Drosophila melanogaster: one gene and its partner. The gene in region 2 interacts genetically with the main gene of each other region. Each region holds a gene or a part of one and is shown on either strand. Other genes may lie near its edges.

The links. Genes that interact genetically often act in the same process or in processes that back each other up.
Region 1: of trr (region 2) and cic, changing one suppresses a phenotype caused by changing the other (phenotypic suppression), as found in Drosophila melanogaster (one study listed by BioGRID).

The regions. Positions count from the first base shown.
Region 1 is NT_033777.3:20,250,898-20,255,845, forward strand, and holds the start of cic (capicua), read left to right. Parts: upstream 1-1,872; 5' UTR 1,873-2,956; intron 2,957-4,948. UniProt on the Drosophila melanogaster protein: Transcriptional repressor required for the specification of numerous cell types during embryonic development. Required for terminal patterning of early embryos.
Region 2 is NC_004354.4:1,886,892-1,891,647, forward strand, and holds the start of trr (trithorax-related), read right to left. Parts: upstream 3,060-4,756; 5' UTR 2,885-3,059; coding exon 1-2,884. Other genes in the region: mRpL16 (mitochondrial ribosomal protein L16), read left to right, coding at 3,456-3,504, 3,587-3,652, 3,722-4,338. UniProt on the Drosophila melanogaster protein: Histone methyltransferase that acts as a coactivator for the ecdysone receptor during development. Specifically trimethylates 'Lys-4' of histone H3, a specific tag for epigenetic transcriptional activation.

The DNA of each region.
Region 1 (4,948 bases), on a different chromosome or scaffold from region 2:
TTTTTTAAGTTATTGCAATAAGCATATATCTTACATGGTTTTATAACTTCTGTCATTTTTATTTTATAGTGTAAATTGTTGGATACTTAAATATATTTTATTTATAGAGGAATTAGAAGTAATAGATTTTAATTCAAGAATTGTAAATCACTTTGCAGCTATCATTATTAGAGTTTTGCTATAAGCTTTATAAATGGATTCTCTAATGTTGTGCACTGATGTGCTCGAAAACTAAGACTTAGGCCGCAAAATTTTCCAGCTCCACCAATTAATCAAATGAACCTAATACTTCGGGACCTGCGTATCTCAACTTGCACTTTTCAGCTCATTAAACTGGAAATGCTGCCTCTTCGTTGATGGAGCCAAAATTCGCTCCGAGAGTTTTCTGCTAATAAAAGTCCAAAGTTATGGCAATAATAGCAGCAGCAACAGAAGGTACAACAATTTGTTTTTTGCCGCTGTCGCGTGGGTGCAAACACATTTATATGTTTTCCCACGGTTAACACGACGTATGCGTAATTTATGTCGCTAGACGGCACCAGGTGCACGGATCACATAGCGCGGTTTTCATATTTCCAAAGTTCCGGCGCGAATTTGATGAATGTTTGCACTTTTTACGGCTCCTTCCATATGAGCGGTCTCATTTGAGGATAGTGCATTCATAAATTATCCACTCAAGAAAGTTGAGTTTAATGAGAAGTTTTTAAGCTCAAGCTCAAATGGAGCGGTACTTAAATTAAATGACTATTGTCACACTTAAAATTTGGCTTGCCAATCATTAGCTTTTATTTACTCTGGGGATTATTTTGAACAGCCTTCAACAATGTATTTTGGTTTATTAAATGTTTTAATAGTTGTGAAATTTTCTGGGATGCATATGCCTATGCATATTATGCATATTACGTATTCGTAAAAACTTTTGTTGATACACGTTTGTTTTTAAGTGTTACCTTACCTATTTAAGATTATATAAATCATCTACATTTACTTGGCTTTGATTTTAAAGTTTCCTAAATCTCGACGGAAGGAAAATCAAGACAGACGGAATATATATACCTTACAGTTTCGAAAACACTTTCTTCCACGCCTTTTATCAAATCAAGGACATCTCTCCAAATCTTAAGAACTAATCTCATATGTAACATTTAAACCAAACAGACCATCTTTAAGACCGACAGATGCCTTGATCTTTTTATAAATGCCACATTTCCTAGGAACTGTCCTATTCCATAAAATCGAAATATTAATAAAAAAGAAAGTAACATAAATTGTAAATAATACTATGCTAGTTTTTATTATAATCCAAACAACTGAACAACATTGGACTAAGTTACTACATGTAAATAATGCATTCAAAGAAGATTATCATAAACAACCTACACAGCCGAAGTTCCTGCACACAGTACTATATTATATAAGTAACTTAACTTAAACAATAAAACCTAAAAACAATAATAGCAATATTACACCCCTTTACTCTACAAGAAATGAATATAAATGTGGCAGATATTTTTCAGTGCTACCACAATTTCATAATTTTTAAGAACGTTGGGCATTGCCAGACTGAAGTGTAGAACTGTAGAGGTTCGTGTACTGACTAACTTAACGATAGATTGTACACAAGCCAGTTCATACAATCTTTGTATAAATTCGCAAACCATGCTAAAAGTAAATGTTAAGAAGCAATTACAATTTTTATTTATTTATATATCGCTCTATCACCGAAAAGTTACAACATTTGGTTGCACCCGCTCGCGGCGCCAGTGTAACCGTATCATTCGCCTTTGCCACGCAACTTGTAAGATTTTGCCCAATCCGGCCAACGGTCCCACTTTGGGGGTATTTTCTCAAATGGGGCAAATGGTCTCCAGCAGATTCTCACTTCATGCTCGGAATCGCACGGACGTGTCGCGGATGTCGGAAGGTGGAGCTCCTGTGAATTGCTCTTGTGCCCCGCGCACAAAACCCCAATAATAGCCAAATCGGGCAGCGCCTGCAGGCTTTTGTGTGAATAAAACGGTTTGTGGCGACATTTGTTCGATTTTTAGGTGTCGCAAATTAAATTCGTTTGCAAATACAAGGCACTTACGCACACAAACGCGAGCGCACGCACAAGTGTAGGTGTGAAAACAAGTGAAACAGAGAGCTGGGAAAACAAACTGGGCTGCATAGATACTGGCTAAATATTGGATTAAGCTCGTATAAAGATAATAATAACAACAACAATCAATCGAAAATGCGCGTGCGACAGAGAGGGTGCGAGTGTGAATGAGGAAAAGAGAGCGAGCGCAGCACGCACACAAACACTAACACGCTGACGTCGACGCGCTGTCTGTGCAGAGGAGCAGTGTTGCCAGCCCACAATACTGCTGCCCGAGAATCCCAATTAAATAATTAATAAGTTCGAATCAGAATTGGAGTATCTGAGGCAGGGCTTTTTGCTTTGCTTACTCCTTTTCCCCGATTCGGCTTATTGGCATTGGGCTCTGCTCTATGCTCTGAGTTGGCAACACTGGCCCCCAAATCGAGTGTGGGCAAGAGAGATAGAGAGACATAGAGAGCAATCGCGAGAGAGTCACATGCTAGGCGCTCATTTCAATTTTCCTCAATGAATGAACACTTTTCACGGTTTTCGGTTCGTCGGTTCGCGTTTTCCACAGTCGTGCGTTGTTTTGCTCGTGGAAAAGTTGTAAAGCCCAGCCAGCCATAATCCAACATTTTGTTTGCAGTGCATTTGCAGCGCGGGAGAGCGAGAACCAACGGCTTAGCGAGCAGTTAAATAATTTTTAAAGTGTTTGTGTTTTTAACGTGTAAAACCCGAAAAAGTCTATGCCTTTTGCATAACAAAAACAAGCCGAGCAAATAAAATAAAAGAGAAAAACAGCAATAAACACCCATACACGTAAACATATACGTACAGAGAGAAACGGACGCCTACGTCAATAAGCGAAAAACGGTAAGCGAAATTCTTTTACCCCATGTTGTATGTGCTTGCCAATTGGAAAATTTTGTATTTCCCTTCCCGCTTCCGTTCTCGCCATCTCACTTCCCCAGTCTCTCTCTCTCTCTCTCTTGTTCCCCCTCTTCCGGGCTTGCTCTTACACTTGCTTTTACGTTGTTGGCAAGCAGAGCTTCATTCATTTCCACAACTTGCACACATACACATACCAGCACACCCCCGCTCTCTGGGAATTAGAGAGTTGGCAAGAGAGCGGTGGGTCTCAGTGTGACCGTGTGTATTTGTTGTAGCTGGTCAGGCCACAAAATTTGTATTCAAGAAATTCTATTCATTTGTTAAATAAACCCTAAGCCTCAACATTTAAACATTTGCACATCATATTGTTCATAAAATACAAAAAAGTCGTAACAATAGCTCCTAGAATTAATATGTGCGTGTGTATGTATGCATTCTTTATCATTGATATGTTAAATGTGAAATGTTGAAATTCAAATTAAGCTCTGCCTTTTTGTAAACAAAAACAATGGGGTGAAAATCAGCTACTGAAATTAGCTAACCATTAAAGTTACTGGTTTTGGTGGATTTTATTAGGGAAATCATGATTAGTATATGAAAATTAGTGGACCACAAATGAGTTAATAAAATCATGGTGCACGGGAAACAATATTGCTGTATTAAGATGTTTTTTTTAAATTTTTTTATTGATAGAAAAACTGTCGTCAATCAAATCAATTTAATTTGAACACTGTACCAGCCTCTTTTGCTGTACATTGGTCCCACAGTTGCCAACTGAAGTTAACCGCCCCCACTCCCCTTCATCAAACACACACACAGACGCACTTGCACTCTGACTGGCTGGCCATCGATGTGTGTATGTAATTAGCAACAAAACTCTCGCTGGCAACTGCATCGCATGAGATTTGAGCGATGCGTTGCTTTTGTTATTGCTATTGTTGCGTCTGCCCGGACCAAATGCTCCCTCTCTTTCTCTAGTCGCTCTCTCCCACCCTCTCTACTGCCTAATTTACATTTGAATGTGCGTGAGCGCCCATTTGTTGATAATTATCAGCAAATTACTAGACGCACTTAGCAGCAGCAGCAGCAACAACAACAATGGGAGAAGTAATGCATACATACAGCGAGTTAGTACAGTGGTCACTATGAAACATAATACAGAGATTAATGCTTAATCGGAATTGAAATTTACACATTTAAGAATTAAAGTAATTCAGAAAAAACAAGGTAATATTCGAAAAAAAACATATTTGAAATGCCCTCTTTACAAAGTGCAAACGTATGCGTGTACAACAAAAAGGCGTGTTTCAACGACATTTATAATGCAGATTTCACTCCCCGTGCTGACCTTAAAAACAGTTTTTTGTTCTATTATTATTTTCTGTCATTCGCTCATACGGGTAGGTGGGGTTATTGAATTTTTAGAATAATTAATCAACCGCAAGAACTTTTGTTGCTAATTGGCAAGTCGTCGGTACAGAAATATAAACCCGTTGCTATGTCTACGATTTCGGTTTGTGCATATATATTGTACATATGTACATATGGGTATAGTATTAGTATGGCATGGCAAATCCAACTTTGGTGGCAAAAACTTAGTTATTCACTCACACGCACACACACAGCGAAAGAAACGCGCACGCCGATTGTTTATTAATTTTTTTTATTTGTACAAATTTGGTTTATCGTTAGCGGCAAATGTTTCTCTTTTCATTTTTATTATTAACTTCATTATTCGAGGCATGGCACGTTTTTCTTGCCTAGTTATTTTTTTGTTTCGATTTTTTATTACATCGCGTTGATGGTGTGTTTGAGTGTGTGTGTGCCTTTTATGGCCAGGACAATGAGCCAATTTTGGTATTGAAGCTAGTTTCTCAATTAGGCCAATGCACTGGTAGAAATTTCGACGCAGTTACTCCTAAAACAATATATATTAAAAAGAAGTATGGAACTTATTTACAACATGGTTAATAT
Region 2 (4,756 bases):
GCGGCTGGTGTAGTTGCTGCTGCTGCTGCTGCTGTGGTGGCGGTGGTGGTGGAGGCGCCTGGTTTTGGCTCTGATTCTGCATAATTGCTGCTGGCTGATCGGATTTCTGCTCCAGCTTTGCCTCCCCTCCCACTCCTGGTGTGGTAATTGCGACCGCACTAACAGGTAGAGCCGTCGCTGAGGCGGTGGCTACCTGTTGGCTGCTTCCTCCGCTAGCTACTGTTGTGGTGGTGGTGGACGTGGCCACAGATCCACTGCTACTACTACTACCTGCCGCCTGCGTGGCAGTGGGCACCGGAGGAATCACCGGACGTGCCAGTTGATCCTCCAAACTTCTGACCTTCCCCATGCTGGGCGCCCGTACGTTGATAACCTTGCGGGCGGAAAGAGGTGCCGAAGCTGAGGCGGAACCAACGTGAGCCGAAGTGATGCTTATCTGGTTGAGGCTATGACTGCTGCTGTTGTTTTGGAGCAGTTGCTTTAGAAGTGCATTATCCTCCGCTGCCGAGCGTTGGTTGTTCATAGGTGTGGCGTTCACTGTAGGATTGGGTGTGCTGGGATTCGAGGCAGTTGAGGTAGATGTGGCCATTTGAATTTGATTGGCGGACTGATTTTGAACCTGGTTAATAGCCGTCATTGTGGCATTGGCGTTCAAACGCTTCTCCGGCGTGCCGATCTCCTCAGCCCGCTCCTCACTGGTCGGAGTACCAGTGCTATCCTTCACAACCGCCTCCTGTTTGACCAGTAGCTTTGCTTTAGATTCGCTGCCAACTTCTTCCAGCTTGACTACGTCCGGAGCCAGACTAACGCTGAGTTTGGTGGGCGTATTGGCGGTCGTTAGTTTCAGCTGCATTGAAGCTCCCGAGGTAGCTGATCCGGAGTTTGCAGAAGATCCCGCCTTGTCTGCACTAGAATCCTGAATCAAAGCATGATGCATCTGCAGCGCCGCCTGACTGGACAACGTGGTTGTAGTTATCATCTTCGGTTTTTGCTGGGCCATGGTCGTCTTGGACAGCACCAGGGATATGTTCTTGTTCTGAATGGAGATTATTGGCCGCGTGCCCATCATCGGACTGTTTATGCAGATGGTCCCCGCCGAAACGGAAACGGTGGAGGTGGTGGCCAGATCTGAGGCATTCCCCGAAGCCATGGTAAACGTCACGGGTGTGCCTGCTCCACTGCCTACCGCGGAGATTGATTGGCTTTGAGCAGCCTGTGAGTGCTGCTGCTGCTTAAAGATGTTAAAGCTGGGTGGACAATTGAGTGTATTCTTGTCGAGCGGCTTAATCACCACGCTGTTGATGTTGGTGAACTCCTCCGGGCCTCCAGTCGATTCCTGGGACTTGCTCTTGTTGAGAATTTTTTGAAGGTTCTCCGAGTAGGCTGTAATCTTTCGAGGCGCTGGCGCATCGTCTTCCGAATGGGCCGCAGGTCCCACAGTTGCGGAATCCTGAACCATTGCGTACGTTTGGCTGGGGTTGGTGGTGGTGATAGTCACTATGCTGCCTGTGGGCGGAGCCAGGCCTCCACCACTGGTCACCTGCAGCTGCTGAAGCTGCTGCTGCTGTTGGATCTGTTGTTGGTGCTGCTGAAGTTGCAGCATCTTTTTGCTCACCACCTTGGTGGCCACAATTTTGGTGTTCGCCGGCTTGATCTGTAGCCCCGAAAACGAGACAATGGTGCCGCTATTTTTTGGCCCGCGTTTGATAAGTTTGGTAAAGTTGTGATGTGCATGAGAATGGACGTGCGGGTGGACCTGCTGACCACCGCTTTGCTGCGCAGCACTCATTACGGTAGTCACCTGACCGCCCGGCTGCAGCAGTTGCTTGCTCTCTACAATCGTGGCTCCTCCGGCTGTGGCCGCTCCACTAGCGCTCATCAGCGGCTTGAGCAGCGGCACCGATATAGTCTTGTTGCCAATCGACACTTTCGCCGTGGTCTGCGTTACTTCCGACAGCTTCTTGGCGTTAACCATCAGCTGGGTTTTCATCTTGGGGTGAAGATTCACCCGGTTTAACAATGTTGTAGTGGGCGTTTGGCTACCAGTGGCCGTGGTATTGAAGATGTTGTAGTTCGTGTGACCGGATTTCTGTGTGAGGATTGTAGTGGTGCCGGCTCCACTGACTCCTGCCGTTCCGTTGTTAGCGTTTAAAATAATGGTGGAGGTAGTAGCTCCAATAGGCGTTCCTGCTGGTGTTCCCGTTCCGGTGGAGTTACCCACAGATGTAGAGCTATCCGCGCCGCTGGCTGGCATCAGTACGTAGTCGAGGTCCTCAGATTTGCCGGAGTTTTCAGCATGATCCTGCCCCGAGCCACTGGGCTCGATGGAAATGACGGACGCGGTTGACGATGATGACGAGGCCGACGATGAGGCACCCTCCTTTTTGGTAAAGCTGGTAAAGGCTGTGTTTCGGTGTAGCAAAGGGTTAGATTGACTGTTCCTTGGAGTGCTGATTCTGTACTCACTCTGCTTGTCAGCGTCCTCCGCCTTGATGGCACCCATCTCAGTGCCGGAGCCGAAGTTGCACACTATGATCTGCTGATCGCGGGCGTCCCAGACGCCGTCCGCCGTCTCGACATCCTGCGGCTCCGACGCAGCTTTTACCTGCGCCTTAGCCTGCTGTCCACTCCGCTGGTAGAGGAGCTGCTGCGGCGCGGTGCTCGACGCTTTGGCGGGCAAACTGGGCGCTGCCGTTCCAGTTCCGAGAAGCAGCTCCGTCTTGGCCTTCTTGCGCGTGGGATCCTCCGCCGGAGTGGCGGTGTCGTCGCCGCTGCGCTTCTGCAGGCTGACCGCATTGAAGGCAGCGGCGGCCACGGATGCTACTCTTTCGGGTTTCGCCTTTTCGGCGGCACCAAGCGATGTTGTCACCTTCGGTATATTCATAACAAACACACAAGTGGAAACGCGGAACGCCGGATGCGATGCGCTGCGTTTCGTGGGACGGGAAGGGCGGCGGTCTAGCTAGCTAGGGCTCGCGCGGCCTGCTTTTTTTTTTACCGAGCGAAAACATGCACGATTAGTCAAAAAAATTTTATTTTCGTGTATGCAGAGCAGTGTTACCAGATGGTAAAACGACCATTACCCTGAAACGTTCTTACCCATCCCTGGTTTTCCACTCAGAAACCCACCACTTTTCCCATCCCATTTCAACATATCGCCATGGCGGTTGCAATCGAATAACGTTTGTACAGCAATCATTTTTCGTTAACTTCAGAAGTTTTTAATACATAACATAATTATTGTGTTCCACGTGCAATATGGCACATTTTCAACTGCAAGAATAAACCATAGTCTGGACAGGGCCGTCAGCTCACTCGACCAATCGGTGGTCTATCGATATATGTTTTTAGCACCACATTTATTAGCTCGATCTGGCAACGGTGGCCGTTGATGCAACACATCTTTGCACAATACAATTTTATAAATAAGTAATATATTTTGACATAAACTCACCATGCTCTCATTAAAGTTAGTCTCCCAGCTCTTTAAGCAAAGCCTTGCGTGTAAGTTGCAGTGGCGCTTCCTGCCTAGCCACATCCAATCCGATAACAGTTTGCAACAAACCACTTAAACTTTTCTTTGCAGCGGGCAACATGGCAATTGTCAACACAGCCGGTCTTAAGTATTTCGCTCCGCCTATTAAATACCAGAGTAAGTAGTTGCATTTAAATGTGCACAATGAATTTAGAGCAATAAATGAATGAATGTGGGAACCCCCAGATGTGGAGCAGCCGGAGAGACCCAAGCTGAGGGTCATTGAGCGCCAGCCCCAGCTGCCGCCAAACATCCGTCCGCCAAAGATGCAGAAGCGCCTGCGATACATGCGCGGTCCGGAGATGGTGCACAACACGCTGCTCCATAAGCAGTACGCAATCGTGGCCACTGGCGGAGGGCGCCTGCGCTGGGGCCACTACGAAATGATGCGTTTGACCATCGGACGCAAGATGAACGTCAACACTATGTTCGCCACATGGCGCGTTCCCGCACCCTGGCAGCCGATCACTAAGAAGGGCCAGGGCCAACGGATGGGCGGCGGAAAGGGAGCCATCGACCACTACGTGACCCCCATCAAGGCCGGTCGCGTCATTGTCGAGATAGCCGGCAAGTGCGAGTTCGTTGAGGTCAAGCAGTTCCTGCAGCAGGTGGCCAACCAGCTGCCCTTCCAGGCCACCGTCGTTTCCCAGGAGATGCTCGACGAACAGCGCGTCGCCGAGGAGGAACAGACCCGCCAGAATGAGAACCCCTTTACCATGAAGTACGTGATCCAGAACAACCTCAGCGGCTGCCACCGTTGGCTCTCGCCCGTGGACCACAAGTGGTTCGGCAAGCACCTGTAGATGTATAGCTTCAATTAATAAAGCCATCCTTCGTTAATCTGTTACGAAACTGTTTCAAGTACTTTTGAAAACTGGAAATATCTTAAAGTAGGTTCGAACTTCGAACTTAGGGCTCGTTGTTCCAAGCCGTGACTCTGCGGCACCCAATTGTGGAGCAAATAAGAAAAACGCCATATGAAGGGAAATGTACGAGTTCTATTGCAAACATTTGTTTAATTTTCCATTTCGTTTACGTGGGTAATATGTAATGCATCATATAATATGTTTTTCTTGCCGTTTCGTTCGCATTATAATAAATGTATAATATTATGCATGTATGCGTGTGTGTATGCTTTGTCGCGGGGTATGGTGTGTGAGCAAATAGCCTTCTCCCACGGACTTCAGTTCTGGAAGCAGAACTTTGACCTGCCGCAGCTCC